Linked DNA regions of Lytechinus pictus. The protein of the gene in region 2 interacts with the protein of the main gene of each other region in a pairwise test. Links are inferred from orthologs where the notes say so. Each region holds a gene or a part of one and is shown on either strand. Other genes may lie near its edges.

The links.
Region 1: the proteins of BRCA1-associated protein-like (region 2) and high mobility group protein 20A-like interact in a two-hybrid assay, tested with the Homo sapiens proteins (2 studies listed by BioGRID and IntAct). The link is inferred for Lytechinus pictus from reciprocal best matches to the Homo sapiens genes BRAP and HMG20A.

The regions. Positions count from the first base shown.
Region 1 is NC_087247.1:80,862,071-80,871,541, forward strand, and holds the start of high mobility group protein 20A-like, read right to left. Parts: upstream 4,131-9,471; 5' UTR 3,800-4,130; intron 1-3,799. UniProt on the Homo sapiens protein: Plays a role in neuronal differentiation as chromatin-associated protein. Acts as inhibitor of HMG20B. Overcomes the repressive effects of the neuronal silencer REST and induces the activation of neuronal-specific genes.
Region 2 is NC_087246.1:16,471,334-16,481,471, forward strand, and holds the start of BRCA1-associated protein-like, read left to right. Parts: upstream 1-5,625; 5' UTR 5,626-6,094; coding exon 6,095-6,176; intron 6,177-7,019; coding exon 7,020-7,256; intron 7,257-9,817; coding exon 9,818-10,138. UniProt on the Homo sapiens protein: Negatively regulates MAP kinase activation by limiting the formation of Raf/MEK complexes probably by inactivation of the KSR1 scaffold protein.

The DNA.
Region 1 (9,471 bases), on a different chromosome or scaffold from region 2:
TTTTATGTTCTCATTTCATTAAAAAAATAATTATTAAACTGACGTAGAAGACTTTATTACGAAATTTTGATATTGTTTTTTCTTGTTTGTTTGGCTTTCTTTTTTTCTTCTCATCCTTCTGTTTCTTCTTACTTTTTTCCATTTCCTTATTTTCTCTGTTATTTCAATTCATGAGGCATCCGCCAACTTATATACAACATCAAACACATTTAGAGGCGGATATCCAGTGAGGGGGCGTGGTGGTGTGCCCCTCTAAAAAAGAACTGGAAGGGGAAAAAATAAGAAAAAAAGAAAGACGATGATGGCAAAGATTATGATGATGAAAATTATCTTGGTAAAGATGATGGTGGTGGTGATGGTGGCGGTGATGATGATGATGGTGGTAGTGGTGATGAAGATGAGAATGAAGTTGGTGATGATGATGATGACTAGATGTAATTTGTCTTTGAAAAAATTAAGTAGTGCAAAGGTGAATTCATTTAAAGTTTATTATGAAAATAGCAGAAAAAAATAATTTGAAAAATTGGTATGCGTTCGAGGAAAATCCATCCCCCACCCCAAAAAAAAAATTAAAGGTGAGATTTTTAAAAAAAATTATTTGTGACGGCGTAGGCCTATGCGAGCAGCTTTAGGATAATTATGGTAAAAAAAGTAAATGAAATGTCAAGAAATACATGATAATGACTTTTATTGTACATTCAGTATTTCAATAGATAACTTCATACCCCTACTCGTTCCACAAAAAAAAAAGTGGGTCATTACGGACCATTAAAAATGGGAAATTTTGGCATTTTATATTACATAGAATATAGAGCAACTGCTTGTTTATGGCGTCACAAATCAAGCATTCGAAATTCTATTAACTCCAATTTAAAAAAAAATAATAACACCTTCACCGATATTTTGAAATTATTTTTCTTATTATTACAATATTTTTATCAAGGTGAAATTCCCCTTTAATTTACAAAACAGTATCAGCATGATCAGTGTGAAGCGGTAAAGCATTCACCTGATAAGTATAGACCTATCTATAATTCATGCGGCGCGCAGCGCGTGCGGCAATGTTTAATAATATATTGCTGTGAATAGAATGAATGTCATTAAAAACATAATCTCACAGATCAAATAATGCCAGCTCGACGCTCGAGCTGAAAAAATATATTTTGTGCCCTGATAATTTTTAACCCTAACCTAACCCAATTTCTAAGTATTTTTTTATCATAAACGGGATAACTATAGACAATTGATTGAAAACTTATTCTTTTGTGAAAATGAATATGAAGGACAACTTTTAAGAACACAGCCCGGAACACAGTTTTAGAGCGTTAGAGCGCGATTTATACGGATTTATACCTACAACCGCTAAATCCTCATGAAGCAGTTGGAACATTTAGTCCTGATTCAATCAGCTTAATAATTTTTGCAACAAGCGCCAGTCCAACAAACAGACAAACATTTGCCCAAACGGACAACATCTCAACCTCTGCTCATTTCTTTTTGCACGGGCACATAAAATCTCGACCTACCCATCACTTTTCTCACTATTTTCTCCTCCCTTTTATTTTCCATTAATTTATCTTTCGTTCACTTTATTTCTGTCCTCTTTTCCCTTTTATTTTTTTCTCGTCTCACCGCTTTTCCTCATCCCCCAGCCCCCGACGCCCGTGCAGATTCGCAAACAATATCAAGAGTAGTGTTAGGCAAGGGCGGAAATCTCTCCCCAAAGGTAGGGGGACTAGGGGCTGGAAAATTTGACAAGCAAAAAAAAAAAAGGTTTATCACCCCAATTAAAAGAAGGTCATCTTGACCAAAAGAAATTTGACAAGCAAACAAGCCCCCCCCCCCAAAAAAAAGGGCACCCCAAAAGTAAGATCGTCTCTTCCAAAATACATGTTTTATTTCGATTTTGAATTAAAAGACCAAAAATAGTAGAGGGGCATTTCATAATGTGCCCCCGACTATTTTGGGTGAGGGGGACATGTCCCCCTGGGATTTGCGCCCATGTGGGTGGGGGTGATGCGCCTCTCTTTCGGAATCATTATGGAAGAGTGTAAATACGAGTTCGCTGTGATTTCGATCTCATACCTATTAAAAAAAAATAGAACAGCTACGCCTTGAACACAGGCAAAAATGCCTAACGATTTCTCCGCGGCATTAACAACTCTCGTAAGGGGCGCTCCATTTATAAATAAAGTTGCATATGTAGCTGTCTACCGCGACAGGAACAGTCGCAGAATTGAAGCCAGAAGCGTGGGAAATTGCCAGAAAATTCAAGAAAAGAACCGGTGAGTACCGATTTAACAGTACTAATTTATTAAGTAACATTTATTGAATCATAAGAATATTTATTTTTTAGTAAAACAAAGCTTAGTTCTAAGCTAGGGCGGCCCAAATGCGCGTGAGTGGAGTCCCAGTTTATATTAACACGGATAAGTATATTGGGGTGTCGCCTAGAGTGATTTAAGTTACGGTAGGGCCGCCCTAGCCCTAGCCCCACTCTAGGCGACACCCCAATACTTACCCGTGCTAATAAACTGGGACTCCACTCACGCGCATTTGGGCCGCCCTAGCTTAGAACTAAGCAATATTATCTAGAAATTGTTACATTGTAGTCATTAAATATGTTCTATTAAATAAATTGATAATGTTTAATCGGTACTCACCGGTTCTTTTGTTGCATTTTCAGACCATTTCTCACAATTCTTCGTAAATATTTGCGGCAAATTTTGTCGCCATAGACAGCTTAGCATCCATCTTTATTGATAAATGGAGCGCCCTTTACGATAGTTGTTAATGCCGCGGAGAAATCGTTAGGCATTTTGGCCTGTGTTCAAGGCGTTCTGTTTTATTTTTTATATTGAAGATTGTGCATTTGTTGAATAGCGCCGTCTACGTCAGGTATGAGATCGAGTGTATAAATACACTCTTCCAAAATAATTATGATTCCGACCTGGCGCTGTTTAACTTCAATCTCTTTCACCTAAATTAGCGATGAATGCTAGCATTATAAAATATATTATTAACGTCTGACGAAAAGAATAACCAACCGATCAGCTGACGAGAACGCGAATCACGTGATCTTCATATCAGCTTCGATCGCGAGCAGAAGAGAAGAGCAGCTGCCCAGAAAATCAGGAAAAAGCCGTGAAAATGTAAGTTCCCCTTCATTTCTTTCATTTTTTTTTGTTGCTAATGCTAACGATGCATTTACACTATAAAATTATAATTTAAATAAGAGAAAGGAATATAGCTTGTACTTGTGATATAATATATAAATATCCTGTTCTCAGAGATTTCTAACCAAAAATACTACTGATGTCGCCTATGAGGTCCATACATGTAATGTTGGACCTCATTGGTACTAGGTAGTAGGAGTAGGACTCGAGTGCCTAGCCCTAGCCTACTGAAATTAGGTCCATCCATATTTTTTATCACAATCACCATCGAGACAAGCATACGTACCGGTACACATTTATTGAAATCAGCATACACATCTATTCTGAAAGGAGGAATGGAATTCGTACTGTACCGTTATTTAATAGTCAAAGATTGCATTTAAATTTAATCAAAAAAGAAAAAAATCCACATTATTGAATGCATGGGACTAAACACAAAGAAATACACGCAATTGACTGCAGTTGTCCAAGCAAAGGGTATGACAAAGTCAGGTTGAGATACGTCAAAAAAAGTCTCGAATCGTTTTTATTTATTGAACAGTCATGTGCAAGTCATTCAACGATAAATTTCGTCTCTCAAACAGCAAACTGCGTTGCAAAAATGAAAATCGATGCAAAATTACCAGGTCCAGGCATACAGCGAGCAAGTCTCGAGAATCAAAAGGCTAGTCTGAATACCAGTCACTACATATATATTATATCTCTCGGATCGGAGGCCGAGGATGGGGATCTGGGGAGTGTTTCATCAACATTTTCATCCGACAAGTTGTCAGATCTGACATCTTTCTCTGATGTTGATTGGCTGAGAGGTACTGTTACTATGGTAACTGTCGGATAAAATGGGACTTGTCGGATAAAACGTCCGACAAGTCCTTTCATGAAACGCTCCCCAGGGGCCGATTGCACGAAGGGTCTTTCCAAGGACCGTCTTTCGTGTCGCCCATCTTTTAAAATGCGCTGTATGCGAGATATTTCTGAAATGTAAGATAAAGAAATAAAATTTGTTAGCTAGCATTTAAATCAATTTGTATACGATTTCATGATATATCACATCATTTTATAAACAAAGATTTTGTTTACTTTAACGGATGAATGAAATGTGTTAATTTACAGGTAATTTATTTAAAATGCGTTTCACATATGGCGCATCATAATAAATGGGCGACACGAAAGACGGTTCTTGCAAAGACCCTTTCGGGCAATCGGCTCCTGGGGCCCGTTTCTCAACACCGTCATAAGTCTAACTTCTTGACTAAATCGGAGATAGTGAGCTACTTGTCCGCTAACCGTTTCACGAAGCCCTCTTTACCAAGATCGGGTACAACAACCTCACTAAATATTTATGACACCTCCGAACCTGTCAACTTCTTTCTTAATGACGTAGTGGCATCACGTGGGTAGACTACGACATGCAAAAGTGCCTAGAAATTATAAAAATTATAATCTTACGTAATCAATCATAGAGATAGAAATTACATCACAAAACAAGTGGGATAATTAATGCATTCAATGATAATTGTAATACAAAGAAACTATAAAAACTGTTGGTAAAACGCCACAAAACCATTCATTTTGAAATAGTAAAATGATTTAATCGATAAAGATTCTACCACGTCAGGCCATCCATAACTGAACTCGTATTTGTTGTTTTCAGACCCCTATTAACAGTTGGATAAATTCTATCTCTAATTTATGCATATAATTTGTCAAATTTCGTATGTTTCGGTATCAATTATTAAAAATGTTTCGTTAAACTATAATTTTGATGACTTTCGGAGTCATAAAAGACCGTAGTAATTATCATCATTTTACAAAGAAAACCGTTATGGTTTACTTTCGTAAACTATTAAAATTTGATATCCCGGGGGTACCCATCTCAACGTCCACAAGTGATTTTTTAGTCATGAAATGAATTATTCAGAATTTTATTTTCTCTGCAATTGAATGCTCCAATCTTCATGGTCTCAGTATGTATGATGCATAATTCACCTGTGCTATTATTTTGAAAAGATTTATTTCCCAATTCATCACGATATTTGCAATTTTGTCATAATTTTTCTTTTTGAAAATTATGCTATTTTGTGACTAAGGCTATGTCTCGTCTGCTCTTTTTACCGATAGTAACGATATCAAGGTATTCTAGTTAGGAAGCCTTTCGAGAAACAGGTTTAGTAAGATTGGAACTAACTCCGTGGTTGGTGGATAAAGATATGACTAACTTGTCCATGTGTTGAGAAACGGGCCCCTGGGGCCTGTTGCATGACGAGATGAGCGATACGTAGGAACGTCCTAGGACCATTCTTCCGAGATTGGAAGATTGGCGACAAATCAGCGCTTTCCGTTTCACGAAGGCAATTTTGTCTTTCAAGTCCGCGACATCGTTTGATATCGATAGTATCGGGAAAATATTTAGTCTTCATCGTCACCTGAACCTTTTATTTCGGAATGACGACTTTTCATAAAATCATATATTTCAATAAAAGGGGATCAAATAATGTTTTATTTATTACTGATTGTAGAATTGATGTATGGAGCGTACTTTATGAGGTAAAAAGAGAAAAAACTTTCAAGATTCACAAACATAACTGGATAAAATCGAAATTTTCATTATTTCCCTTATTTAGAACACGGTGTCCTTTTAGAGACACCTTTCATTGATATTTCAATGAAAGAGACCCTTGTCCGACATAAAAATTGATTCAACTAAGTAATTTCGACATTTTATTAGTTCAATACACTGATTTTTTTTATAGAATACATATATATAATGATGATTTTGCAAATTATGCGTTAATATGTTATCTGTTGAGGTAAAAATAGGGTTTTAATGAAGTAAACAAAATCAACAGTGTCTGATTGTATGAGACTAAAATGGAATATATGAGAGGCTGCCTGTGAAAAATCTAATTTATTTATTTTATTTGTCAGATATAACGCAAGAAATACAAATGTGAGTGTTTAGAGTATAAACATACCTCAGTTGCATGATGAGTAACCGAAGACAAGGAAAATATGAAAATTGCTGCAAACATGTCCAAGTGGATAAAGTAGAGCTTTGCAATTACAATTAAAACATAGAAAAAGGTGTGCAATTAATATCCGCAATGGAAAAAATACTATTTACAGAAATAATGCTAAATATTACAATGATCATATAAACGTTGGTCATCTTTAAAGTTGATCACTTAATTTATGGAAGCTTATATAAGAATATAAGGTTTAAGAATATGAGAAATATATATGTTCAACATTTCAAAGTTGAGGAGTATGTAGAGACTACATTATTGCTTTAACATTACATAGGGGCCGAAAGGGGTCTACCCTACGATTTAACATGCGCCTCTTCGTATATGGACTTTCCATAATCTTTTCTTTAATATGAACTAGCTTATCTTCATTTGTAATAATTGTAATGGATTCGTAAGCTATATATAGGCCTAATCTGTATCTTAAATTCAATTAGCTATTTTGTTACTGCAGATTTTTTGTTTTGTTTCACTGTTTCACATCTCAAGTTAGCCCAAATCCGACAATTAATTTTCATTGATTAAAATTAATCTCAGCAAAAAAAAAATTGTAATGAAAATGAAATAAAAATAAATGAATGATTTACCATGTTTAACATTTTAGTTTTGTATCGTGTTTGTTTTTTTGCTGAACGTTATAAACAAGTTTTTTACCTTACATCATTTCTTTTAAAGATATTTGTTTTCATGTTGTTTAATTATCTATAATGAGAAAGCATGAGGGGTCAGAGAGATAGTGCCGCCCATTTCAATATTTCAAAAAAAATTAATGGAAATGGTGTGGGGATAGGACGGAGAATAAAAGAAAACATATTAAAAAAAATATTTGGGCCTACATTACCCCGGACATAATGCCCGGAGAAGTTAAAATGACATCTGTTTTTGGTCGATCGTCTTGCCGTGCAAAAAGACGACCTGAAATTGATGACAACTATCCCCCATATAAAAAATAACTTGGCGCCATCCCAGACAAAATGCATCAGTGTGCAACCCCAAAAAATGTTTAAAGGTGATATGTCAGTGTGGCTTGCCGTAAACGCATTTTCTCTCAATGCCGACGGTGGCGGGCGGTGTGCAAAGAAGATCATGCCTACGTAGGACATGTCTGGAGGTGTCTTTCCAAGGACCATCCTTCGTATCGCCCAAACCGGCTTTGTGAAACAGTTGAGCGATATCTCGTTCTTACGTAGAGTGGTCCTACCAAAGACCATTTCATGCAACAGGCCCCTGCATGCTATCTATCCGTACCGCGTAGTTCTGTTTCTCTAATAATAGCCACCTTTCGCAATCCTCACGGACGCTAATATTAGGGTCCCCTAACACAAAAGTTAACGCTTAATCATACACTTGATTTTTAAGATTGATTGTACATTATAGTCAATAGAATCAAACGTAGAAAACTGCTCTACAATCAATACTAAGCTTTGTGTTACAGGGGGGTTACAGGCCCTACAGATCTGCTTTTCGTGTGCAAAATTCTTTCCCGCGACACCCCCACCATTACATGCATGTACATTACGACTGATGGCTGGAGATATTCGAAATGCAGGACCTACAATAGATTATGACATGGATATGAAAGAGGTTTTTCAAACAAATCGAGTACATATTGAGTGAGGAAAAAGTTACTGAATTAAGGCTTAGATATAAATCATTACAGTCCATCGAATCGATATTGCATTTAATGTGGATTATTGGTGGATCTCTGGCAATTATTTCCATGGGTCAAATCACCTCTCCAGCCGAAACCATTTCGCATGCGTTGATTATGTACACAGTATGTATACGTCTGAACGTACCAGCCTTTTGTGTACTCCTACACAAACGATATGCGTCTAGCACACCATGTAATGGGCATTATGTTTTACTTTCCCCAGAAATGGGGGATTAGATTCGAATTCCCGCGGGGGGACCACTTAATTCCATTGATGAGTTGATACCAGGCACGACCATGCGGTACCAAAAAGCACCCTAAATAAAGGAAGCAAGGCTTTTCCAGATTATGAAAATGCATCTCTTAAAGTAGAAATATATTGAAAATCATAGAAATTAAGAATTATATATCAAATTAGAGGGGGAAATAAGAAGAACACGATGGTGTGCATCATTCATCATGGAGACCGATGAAACTCACTTAATTGATAGTTCAAAGTTCTTTATCTGAATGCTTCAAACACGCTCAATTACGTCCGCGAAATTGGGGTTTTTTGATGACGTGTATAAGTGTACGAGAAACGTGATTGGCTCTCCCACGTCAAGCTCCACTTGCATGCAAAACCTGTTGCGAGGGTACGTTTTTCCACACTGTCACTGAATACTTCGATCACGAAATGAAAGAAAACCCAGAAGTTTATCTAGATTTTGGATTTTCAAATTGATGATTTTGAAGATGAAGAGAATGATGATGAAGTTTCTAGCTCTAGTGACGCGGATGGAGGTAAATTAGGGGAATTACGTCTATGATGATGAGTCGGACATTTCAACTTGCATGCCGATACGCTACCAACTCATGCAGCTGCTAGTGCTAGCTGCACCTAGGCCTACTGCGGGCCAAAATAAATCCATGAAAATTCCAGCCTTGACCAGCCATACAGAGTCTCTTCCCTCTGTCAAGGCTCTAAAGAAGGAGAATAATGATATAACTGTACTTACAAAGAAGTGAATATATCCGAATCTGAAGGCAAATCAACTCAACGAATAGCAGCAGACGATATTCACCGACGATAAACTTCACGTGGCCGGGATAAATTGTCACTCGTTCTGTTAGATATAATTTCTGCCTCATCATTTTGACAAAATTACGAAACTCGGGGAATTATTTTTTTTAAACCGCTTGCTCGCTATGCTTTGTCGCTGAGAAGTGAAACCTAATTCAAAATATCTATCTTATAATTAGAAAGCCTTTGCTCAACTTAATTTCTACAAAACACACAATTACTTCACGCAGTTCATGATCTCATTTTGAAAATACATGTATCTGTTTGCACAAAAAAACTCATTTTGATAAATGAGTGCCTTTTTGGTGTTGACCCCCCCCCCCCCCCAATAACAATTTTCTGCTGCTCCTGTCCCAGGGAGTGGAGAAAAACATACGTTGAGAATGCCAGGATCAGATGACCGTGGTAATAATAATTATTGCAATGTAAATCGCCTATAGAAAAATGATGGATTATGTGTACACAGGTAACTATATCATTATTTTAATATGTCTCTATCATGAAATTATTTTTGTTTAAATGTACAAAGGTTAATTTTTTTCGCTCAGTCCC
Region 2 (10,138 bases):
AAGAAAAAAAATTAAAAGAGAAAAAGGAGGAAAGGAAAGAAAAAGAAAAAAGGGGGAAAAAGAAAAAAGCGGAAGAGGGAAAAGAAAGGAGAAAGAAAAGGGGAAGAAAGAGAATAATATTTAAAAAGAGAGGAAGATGGGAAGAAAGATAAGAAAAGAGAGAGAGAGGGGAATAGAGGAAAAGAGAAGAAAAAAGGAGAGAGTAAGGGGGGAAGGAAAAGAAGAGAAAAGAGAGAGGAAAAGAGAGAAAGAAAGGACGGGAAAAATAGAAGAAAAGTGGGAAAGATAAGATAGGGGAAAAAAGAAGAAAAGGGAGAAAGGAAGACAAGAAAAAAGAGAAGAAAAGGGGAAAATAAAGAGAAGAAAAGGAGAGAGAGAGAGGAGGAAGGAAAAGAAGAAAAGAAGAGGAAGAGGGGGAAAGAAAGAGAAAGGAAGGGGAATGAGGATAAGAGAAAGAAAAAAAAGAAAGAAAGAAAGAAAAGGAGATGGGAAACGAAAGAGGGAGATGTTGACCCGGACGTCGATTTGATGTTCGAACTAGGCGGTGCCAAAATAACATTCGAACTATGGGGCGCCGAACTGATGTTTGAACAGGGAGGGGGGCGCGAAATTGATGTTCGAACTATGGGAGCGCCGAATTGATGTTCGATCTAGCGGGGCACCAAATTGATGTTCGAACTATAAAGAGCGCTAATTTGAATTTTGACCATAATGCGACAAATACATGTTTCAGAGGGGGGGGGGGAGGGCAAAGTTATATTTCACATGGGGGCGCCAAGTTTATGTTCAACCGAGGGCGCCAAATTGACCTTGAACTTAGGGGGCTTCATGCAAATTCATTTTCGACCGGGGGCGCAACATTGCTCGTATTGCCTGTTTATAGTGAAATATATGTCCTGCCCAAAAAGCTTAAATTAATGCGGGTGAATTAAAATATCCCGTTTTTACGATAATAGACAAAAACAATGTTTTCGAGTTTAAAGTCTGTTTAGCGAGATAGATATCCTGTTCAGGGTCACAAAAAGGGGTTATAATCAAATTCAGCTCGCGCTACGCGCTCGCAATATTTCATCAATGAGGTATGCATCCTCTGCATCAATCCTACATGTAAGTGAATTAGTGTTCTTCAAGTCAACATACATAGGCCGATCCACGGGGCAAAGATTTTGCCCCCCCCCCCCCCATGGTGGCGCAAAAAAGGGGTAAGAAACAGAAAACGAAGAGAAAAGGGACAAGCAATTAAAATAGGAATTATACCTTAGTCCTTCTTAAGTCAGTATATAAAAAATTGAGCTCGCGCTTCGCGCTGGCATCAATAAATTGTTTAGTTATATACGCATCCCGACCTCACAGTTTTTTTTAAGAGAACGAGAAGCACAAGCTGAAAATATTTGATATTCTAACCTGACAACTGAAAATGTATTTTTCATTTTATCATTATACAAGTTTTCAGCTAGCGCTTCGCGCTCGCATTCATTTATTAATAGATATGCATCGTGTTCATCATAACAACTACTAACATTGGCGAATCCAGGGGGCCCGAGGGCCCTTCCCCCTAGTGACGGAGCAAATAAATTGGGAAAAACGGGGAAAGAAAGACAAAAAGAAGGGGAAAGATAAAAGGGGGAAGACGAGTGAATAAAATAAGGTCAGGAGAAGACTTGAAAAATAATTTTTTAAATATTTAATGTCACTATATTAAAATTTCGCTCACGCATCACGCTCGCATTGCCTGTTCGATGAGATACATATCTCGGTCAATATAGGCTGATATATAGTTCAAAAGATAAAGTTTTGAAGTCAATATACAAAACATAATTCAGCTCGGACATCGATCTTTCATTTTTTTTTGGTTTTATTTGCCAATTTATTTTTTTAAGTGCTCTGGAAAATGTCCGTTTTATGGTGTGAATCAACATTTGCAACATTTTGTGCGCTCGCATTATTTGCTATGTAGGCCTACCTTTTGCCTTTTGGTATTTCATATAAGATTATCTAAATATTCCTTTTCAGGTGTCTCGATTCTAAAAAAAATGAAGGCCTATGCTCACGCTGTGCTCTCGCATTTTGGTGAGTTATGTACACCTATAACAAACTACTTAATTCCCCCCCCCCCCCCATTTAAACATTTCGGATCGCGATTTGCGCTCGCGTTATTTGCTAAAATATATCAACCAATGAATCCTATTCATGATTATAAAAATACTTAAAATTTCCAGTTTTCAGGCCACATACACTGTCAACAAATTTCACACACTCATTAGGCTTATTAGATTAATAAATATGAAATAACATTTTTATGAATTCATAATAACTAAATTGTCCCTTTTTCATAAATAAATATCGACACGTTTTAGGAAAAGAAATAGAAGATAGTCATCATTCTTATATGATGACAAAATATCCTTAGGCTTAAAATGTCTCGATCCTAGGTTAAAATAATAATAAAATATCAGCTCACGATTCGCGCTCGCATCATTTATTTAGTGCTGTCCACATCGACGTCACAATTTTCCTATATCAAAGTGCTGTAAATAGTGCTTAAATTGACTCATTTCATATCGGAATTTCAAATATTATTTTCAACTCGCGCTCTGCGATCGCATTATTGATTTTCATGATGAAAAATGAAATGTATTCAGAATGCAGATTCTGTCTAACTCTAAAACACGCGCACGCATTTTTTTTTTTAGATACGCAGCTTGATCTTATTCAAAACGTACTAAAATTATCCAGTTTCAGATCAGAATATAAAAAATTTTCTGCTCGCGCTTTGCGCTCGCATTATGAAGACACTAAAAATTACCCTTCCTTTTTCATGATTGACAAAACATGACTCGAGCGTCCTGTTTGGGGGTTTGAAATCTCATCTTTTTAGGGTGGAATATCAAAAATGTTCAGCTCGCGCTTCGCGCTCACATTATTTAATCGTTGAAATATATATCGTCTTAATGGCTAACTGCAAAACGTCCTTAACAGGTCCCTTTTCGACTAGGCCAGAATGCATATTTAAAGGTCAAGTCCACCCCAGAAAAATGTTGATTTGAATAAATAGAGAAAAATCAAACATGAATAACGCTGAAAACTTCATCAAAATCGGATGTAAAATAAGTTATGACATTTTAAAGTTTCGCTTATTTAAAAAAAAAACAGTTCTATGCTCAACTAAGTGATATGCAAATGAGAGAGTCGATGATGTTACTCACTCACTATTTCTTTTGTTTTCTATTGTTTGAATAATACAATATTTCAATTTTTATGAATTCGACAATTAGGACCCCCTTGCTTGAACCACAAAATGCTAAAATAATTGAATTACATGTGTTCAGGGAGGAATGAAACTCTGTTTCACATGACAATGACGAGAAATATAATACAAAAGAAATAGTGAGTGGGTGATGTCATCGGTACCCTCATTTGCATACCGACCAGGATGTGCATATAAATGTTTTGAAAAATTAAGCAAAACTTTAAAATGTTATGTGTTATGTTAACTTTCTTTTTTTACATCCGATTTTGATGAAATTTTCAGTGTTATGTTTGTTTAATTTTTCACTTTCTATTCAAAGCAACTTTTTGTTGGGGTGGGCTTGTCCTTTAACACTTCTGATCGCGCTTCGCGCTCACGGTAATTATCTAGTTACATAACGCGTTCTCAATTTTCTGGACAAAATACATGAAATTTCATTTTTTTTTAGCTTGCATAGGGCTTATGAGATTATTACACATTTATGTTGTTTATAAAGTAAAGCTAGGAAATGACTGTTAGGACATGGGCGTTTTGCCCCCCCCCCAAAAAAAAAAAGAGAGAAAAGGAAAGGGATTAGGATGAAATATGATATTATTTTCCAAATGTTATGTCAAAATCTATCACAACCTTGTATTTTTGTAATAAAAATGTCAGCATATTTGCTTGCTCGCTTCGCTCAATGGAAACTTCTTATTAATTTTGTGCGATACGCCATATCGAGCCCCCTCAAAATTGTTGGCTCATTACGCCACTGGAACAACCCCTTCAAAGAAAAAAAAAATAAAATATCAACATTGAGCGGCCGATGGGGGAAAATATGGGTGAAAAAATTCGCCCCCTCATTTGCGGAAGCTAGGTCCGCCCCCGGAATTAGGCTTTCAGGATAAAATACATCAAAAATAAAAAATAAATCAGATCGCGCTTCGCGTTCTCATTATGTATTTAGGCCTTGTGAAATACCTCAATGTGTTTTTTAAAATAAAATCTCAGATATTCTTTAACTTCTACCCCCCCCCCCCATTTCATTGATTGTTGTTATCTTGGTGCCCTCTACAAAAGTTCAACAAGACCCCCCCTCGTGCACCCATGCTGAATAAATACGCCACAAATGAGGAGAATGAGTCGATTGCTTCGTGATTGCATTATTCCCAAGAAGCTATCATTAATATTATTGAAGGCTATTCTAAAACAACTAGCAAAGAAACTACAGCTCCCGTTCACACAATATTCTAGTAGGGCCTACTCTCGTGAGAAATTAAACCAAATTGAACCCCCCCCCCAAATCACTCGCGCTTCGCGCTCCCATTGATATTTCATTATTATATTCATGGATTTTTTTTTTAAGAACACATTAAAAGAGTGGTCTTTAATTGCCTTTTTAAAATGTGATTATAAGATAATTCAAAATCCATTTAAGGCACTTAAGTTAGCCTGGCTGGAAGGGAGTGGGCGCAATTTTTCGAAAAGTACACATGGGCGCCAAGAATCAGGTCAAATTTGGGCCCCCCTTCTCACCAAATCCTGGATCCGCGCCTGGGTTCTATAACAATAACCAAATTAGGGCAATCATCCACTGACAACTACTTCAAGGAAAATATGATCCCCATATTTTTACCGCCGGGGACTGTTACCCCCAGAAATTTACCCTCGAGACAATTACCCCGGATAATTACCCTTAGTACGGAGCCTTTAAAATGCCATCGACGTGACGACATGGCATGATACTCTATCTTGCCATGTATAATTAATAAGCTTATTATTTCGACATGGCGATATATTCTATCTTGTCAAGTCGATATGTCGACATGGCGAGATCTGAAGTGTACAAGTCCCGGCCAGAATCCCGATATATCGCCATGTTGACATATAACTTGTTACAAGTCGACTTGGCAAGATAAAATATCTCACCATGTTGACGTATAACTTTTATATGTGGACTTGGCAGGTATCTCGCCATGCCGACATAATAAGCTTATTTAGTCGATATGGCAAGATAAAGTATTTCGCCATGTCGTCAAGTCAGTGGCATTTGAAAGGCTCCGTACTAGGGGCAATTGGCGTCTAGAGGGTAAATTTCGGGGGGGGGGGGGTAACAGTCCCTGACGATAAAAATATGGGGATAATATTTTCCTTGAAGTAGTTGTCAGGGGGCGATTGTCCATTCGGTCATCGTTATAGAACCCCATGGACTCGTATCAATGACCGTTTGACCTCTTGATGACATTGGATCTCACTATATCCTGATCATTATTTTACACACACCGCGGACTATCGGACCCGCGGTCTATCGGACCCGCGGACTATCGGACCCGCGGTCTATCGGACCCGCGGTCTATCGGACCCGCGGTCTATCGGACCCGCGGACTATCGGACCCGCGGTCTATCGGACCCGCGGTCTATCGGGCTGTAACCGAATGCATGATATGAACCATGCATACCGCCGGTAATATTATGAAGCAATACGCTGCGAAAACGAAAACAACGTTTTGCTTGATCATGATGATGTCTGTGTTTGTGAAAACAGTTTTTGGACAGTTTGTTGGCTAACACTAAAGAAAATACGTTCTACATTGGTCTCATCTTCAAAGTTCTACCTAGAATAGTCTATTCTCTTAAGACAAGAAAAAACAAGGAGCAGGCTGAGCAGTGGACAATCGGCTGATCGGGCATCGCTTTTCTTCTTCCCTGGCCGCGGTCGCGTTGATTTCCTCCACTCTCGATTACCGTCTACCCATCTGGACTGGGGAACTGCCGGATCCAGTGGTTATAGCGAAAAGTGTTTTTTTTTAAATTAGATTCAGGATAGAGCTAAGCTCAGGATCTTTGGAATCGTTCTGTATCTTGATGATGTCTGTTTCATTGTGTATCATCAGAATTTCTGTTAACGACAACTCTCCGATTCCAAAATCATTGTCATATTCAAGAGGTAGATCTGTGGTTTTAACATTAACAAGTTAGTCCGGAGGGGGGGGGGGCAGTCAAATATATTGCTGTACACTTACGTGACCAAAAAACGCATTTAAAGGGTTTTTTTTTTTTCAGTTTTATACGCGGGCCCCGCGTGTACTGATTTTCAAGAAAAAGGGTGGTTTTGAAAGACCGGTCAATGGTCAGTTGCGGGGCTGGGGTCAAATGTAATTAGGGTATGTTTTTTTTCCAAAGCTTTTTATTTAAAACTAGCCAAACATGTTAAGGGTATGTTTTCTCCCCCAAGCTTTTTCCCCAAGGTCATATTCTGGCAACAACATGTACATGTTTAGAGGCCAAATTGTGTACATAAAGCTCGCGAAAAAATTGTTTGGAGGTTATTTTGCACACAGAGAAAAACTCGTTTAGGGGGTGTTTGGAAATAATTTGGTCACGCATGTGTACAGCAATACATTTGACTGCCCCCCGGCCCCGGGGCAAGTTAGTCCTAATTTTTTTTAAGTTGATAGCCTAACTGTTAGCTATTTAAGTGATTATTTTTTTGTCTAACATTACTACTAGGAACTTAGGAAGTTTAATTTCAGTAGCCATGGTAGAATAGCAGAGTATTTGGTTGAATTGAAATAGCCTAACAACATGCCTAAGCCTAAGGCATGATAATGTTCAGTCTTCCTATTAATTTAAGTTATAATTTTGAGAATCGAGACATTAAATCATTCAATTCAACTCTTTTAAAATGTCATTTTTTAAAAGTAGATTTATCTAGAACTCTATTATGATTAATCAAATTGTGACTTAGAATTTTTTTAGATTAACAAGGTTTTGTTTGAATTTCATGCAGGAGCAGACGCGATGGCAGAAAGTCCACCACTGCTATCTTCTTCACCTCCTCCTACTCTGATGGCCAAACGGCATGATGCCCTCAGTGATAAACCTTCAGTGGCATGGGAGAAAGTGGATGAAGATGGACGAAGTCATCCAATCCTGGCCAAGGCAGAGAGCACCGAAGCCATCTTGGAGAAATGCATCGGAAAAAGGGAAGAGACAGAGATCCAGATCGAAACCTACAATGTTGAAGGTAATTTTAACTGGGAATGAATCTACAGTCAAATTGATCAGCTGAACTTATTGGGGGAAGGGGATGGGTCATTCCCAATTGTTTAACATTTGTGACAGAGCAATGTTTTATACATAGCAATGTTTTCCCGGCTTTAAGGCTTTAATCAACATGTCAAAACAGAGCAATGTTATATACATAGCAATGTTTTCCCGGCTTTAAGCAGTACATGGCAATATGGCTGTAAAAATATGAAATGTGAAATTTAATCAACATGTCAAAACAGGAAGCCACATCTTTTTTCTGTGATAACCAAATTAATCTTTTGAAATTCGCTATACAGGTAGAAAGGACCTCAAATCTTCTTGCCTGATGTGGTGAAGAATTGGTTCTAAAGCTACACTGATATCACAGGAGGCAGGCATAATCATTATTAAGAAATCTTGACACATCTAACTTTATGCTCTTTAGAAGTTTAGATGAGGACATTAACTGATAAAAAGTAGATTATTTGTATGAGACATTTGCTATTGAAATGTACAAACTGTGCATAATGGCTTGCCAGCCATGATGTCACATAATTTATTAAAGTCGATTATAATTTGTTATACTTTTGTTGTTGATGCCATTTTGAGACTGCACAGCTCTTTCGTTATACACTGTCAGAGAAAATGATTTTGCTAAGTGTTAAATTATTGGGCTGAGAAGCTCTTTACCTTAATGTATTGAACTCATTATTCCAGAATTTCTTTTTGTTTCAACTTTAAAAACTTTTTTGTGTGCAAATAAAGTATGAAAGAAAAATTGAGATAGATATTTTAATGGGATGTAAAGGCTTACTGGGGAAGTTTGATATTGGAATTCTGTCTTGTAATAGATAGAGAGATAGAAAGTGTAATGGGATGGAAATGCTTGCTGAGGAAGTTTGATATTGGAATTCTGTCTTGTAATAGATAGAGAGATAGATAGAGTAATGGGATGGAAATGCTTGCTGAGGAAGTTTGATATTGGAATTCTGTCTTGTAATAGATAGAGAGATAGATAGTGTAATGGGATGTAAAGGTTTGCTGGAGAAGTTTGATATTGGAATTCTGTCTTGTAATAGATAGAGAGATAGATAGAGTAATGGGATGGAAATGCTTGCTGAGGAAGTTTGATATTGGAATTCTGTCTTGTAATAGATAGAGAGATAGATAGAGTAATGGGATGGAAATGCTTGCTGAGGAAGTTTGATATTGGAATCCTGTCTTGTAATAGATAGAGAGATAGATAGAGTAATGGGATGGAAATGCTTGCTGAGGAAGTTTGATATTGGAATTCTGTCTTGTAATAGATAGAGAGATAGATAGAGTAATGGGATGGAAATGCTTGCTGAGGAAGTTTGATATTGGAATTCTGTCTTGTAATAGATAGAGAGATAGATAGTGTAATGGGATGTAAAGGTTTGCTGGAGAAGTTTGATATTGGAATTCTGTCTTGTAATAGATAGAGAGATAGATAGAGTAATGGGATGGAAATGCTTGCTGAGGAAGTTTGATATTGGAATTCTGTCTTGTAATAGATAGAGAGATAGATAGTGTAATGGGATGTAAAGGTTTGCTGGAGAAGTTTGATATTGGAATTCTGTCTTGTAATAGATAGAGAGATAGATAGTGTAATGGGATGGGATGGAAATGCTTGCTGAGGAAGTTTGATATTGGAATTCTGTCTTGTAATAGATAGAGAGATAGATAGTGTAATGGGATGGAAATGCTTGCTGAGGAAGTTTGATATTGGAATTCTGTCTTGTAATAGATAGAGAGATAGATAGTGTAATGGGATGGGATGGAAATGCTTGCTGAGGAAGTTTGATATTGGAATTCTGTCTTGTAATAGATAGAGAGATAGATAGTGTAATGGGATGGAAATGCTTGCTGAGGAAGTTTGATATTGGAATTCTGTCTTGTAATAGATAGAGAGATAGATAGTGTAATGGGATGTAAAGGTTTGCTGGAGAAGTTTGATATTGGAATTCTGTCTTGTAATAGATAGAGAGTTAGATATAAAGGCTTGCTGGGGAAGTTTGATATTGGAATTCTGTCTTGTAATAGATAGTGTAATGGGATAGAAATGCTTGCTGAGGAAGTTTGATATTGGAATTCTGTCTTGTAAGAGATAGAGAGATAGATAGTGCAATGGGATGTAAAGGCTTGCTGGGGAAGTTTGATATTAGAATTCTGTCTTTTCCATGAATACAGGTCAGATTAAAACTAAGAGGTAGTGAGGTAACTTGTTCTTACATCATTGTGACTGTGCCATAAACCAGCAATGGCTTGGTGGTAGGGCCATTGATCAGCAATTAGTAGATTCAAATCTAGGTTCAAATCCTCCTGGTTCTAAGATTTTTGTCTGTCTTATTTTTTAGATCAAATATGCGATCTTATTTAATCTACAAAATTTGCTTCTTATGAAGGCTTAGAATGAAAAACGACTTTGAAGTTTTTAGTTATATTGATTTGCCTTGGTAATCAATTTCTGATAGACCAAAGAAGTGGACTATTTCTTCACTATGTAAGCTAAGCATTGATATTCTTATCTTCCAGAAAGATACGAGGATGAGTGCACAGATCAGATCAAGGAAGAACCTAAACCGAGCTATGCCAAAGCTCTTGCTGGGGTGAAAGAAACAGACAAATGGCGTTCATCCAAGGAAAGACAAAGTCAAATTAATCAGTCATCGACTTTTAAGCCTGTAAAGGGGGACAGTCTATGTAGTGACACCACTACTACTAGTGAAATCACATCTCTTGATAGTACTGATGAAGACTCTCTAAGCATAGACAAGGACAAAGGTCAAAGCTCAGAGTCTGACAAAGTTCAAAGCACAGAGAACAAAGGACAAAGATCGGAGAGCAAAGGTCAAA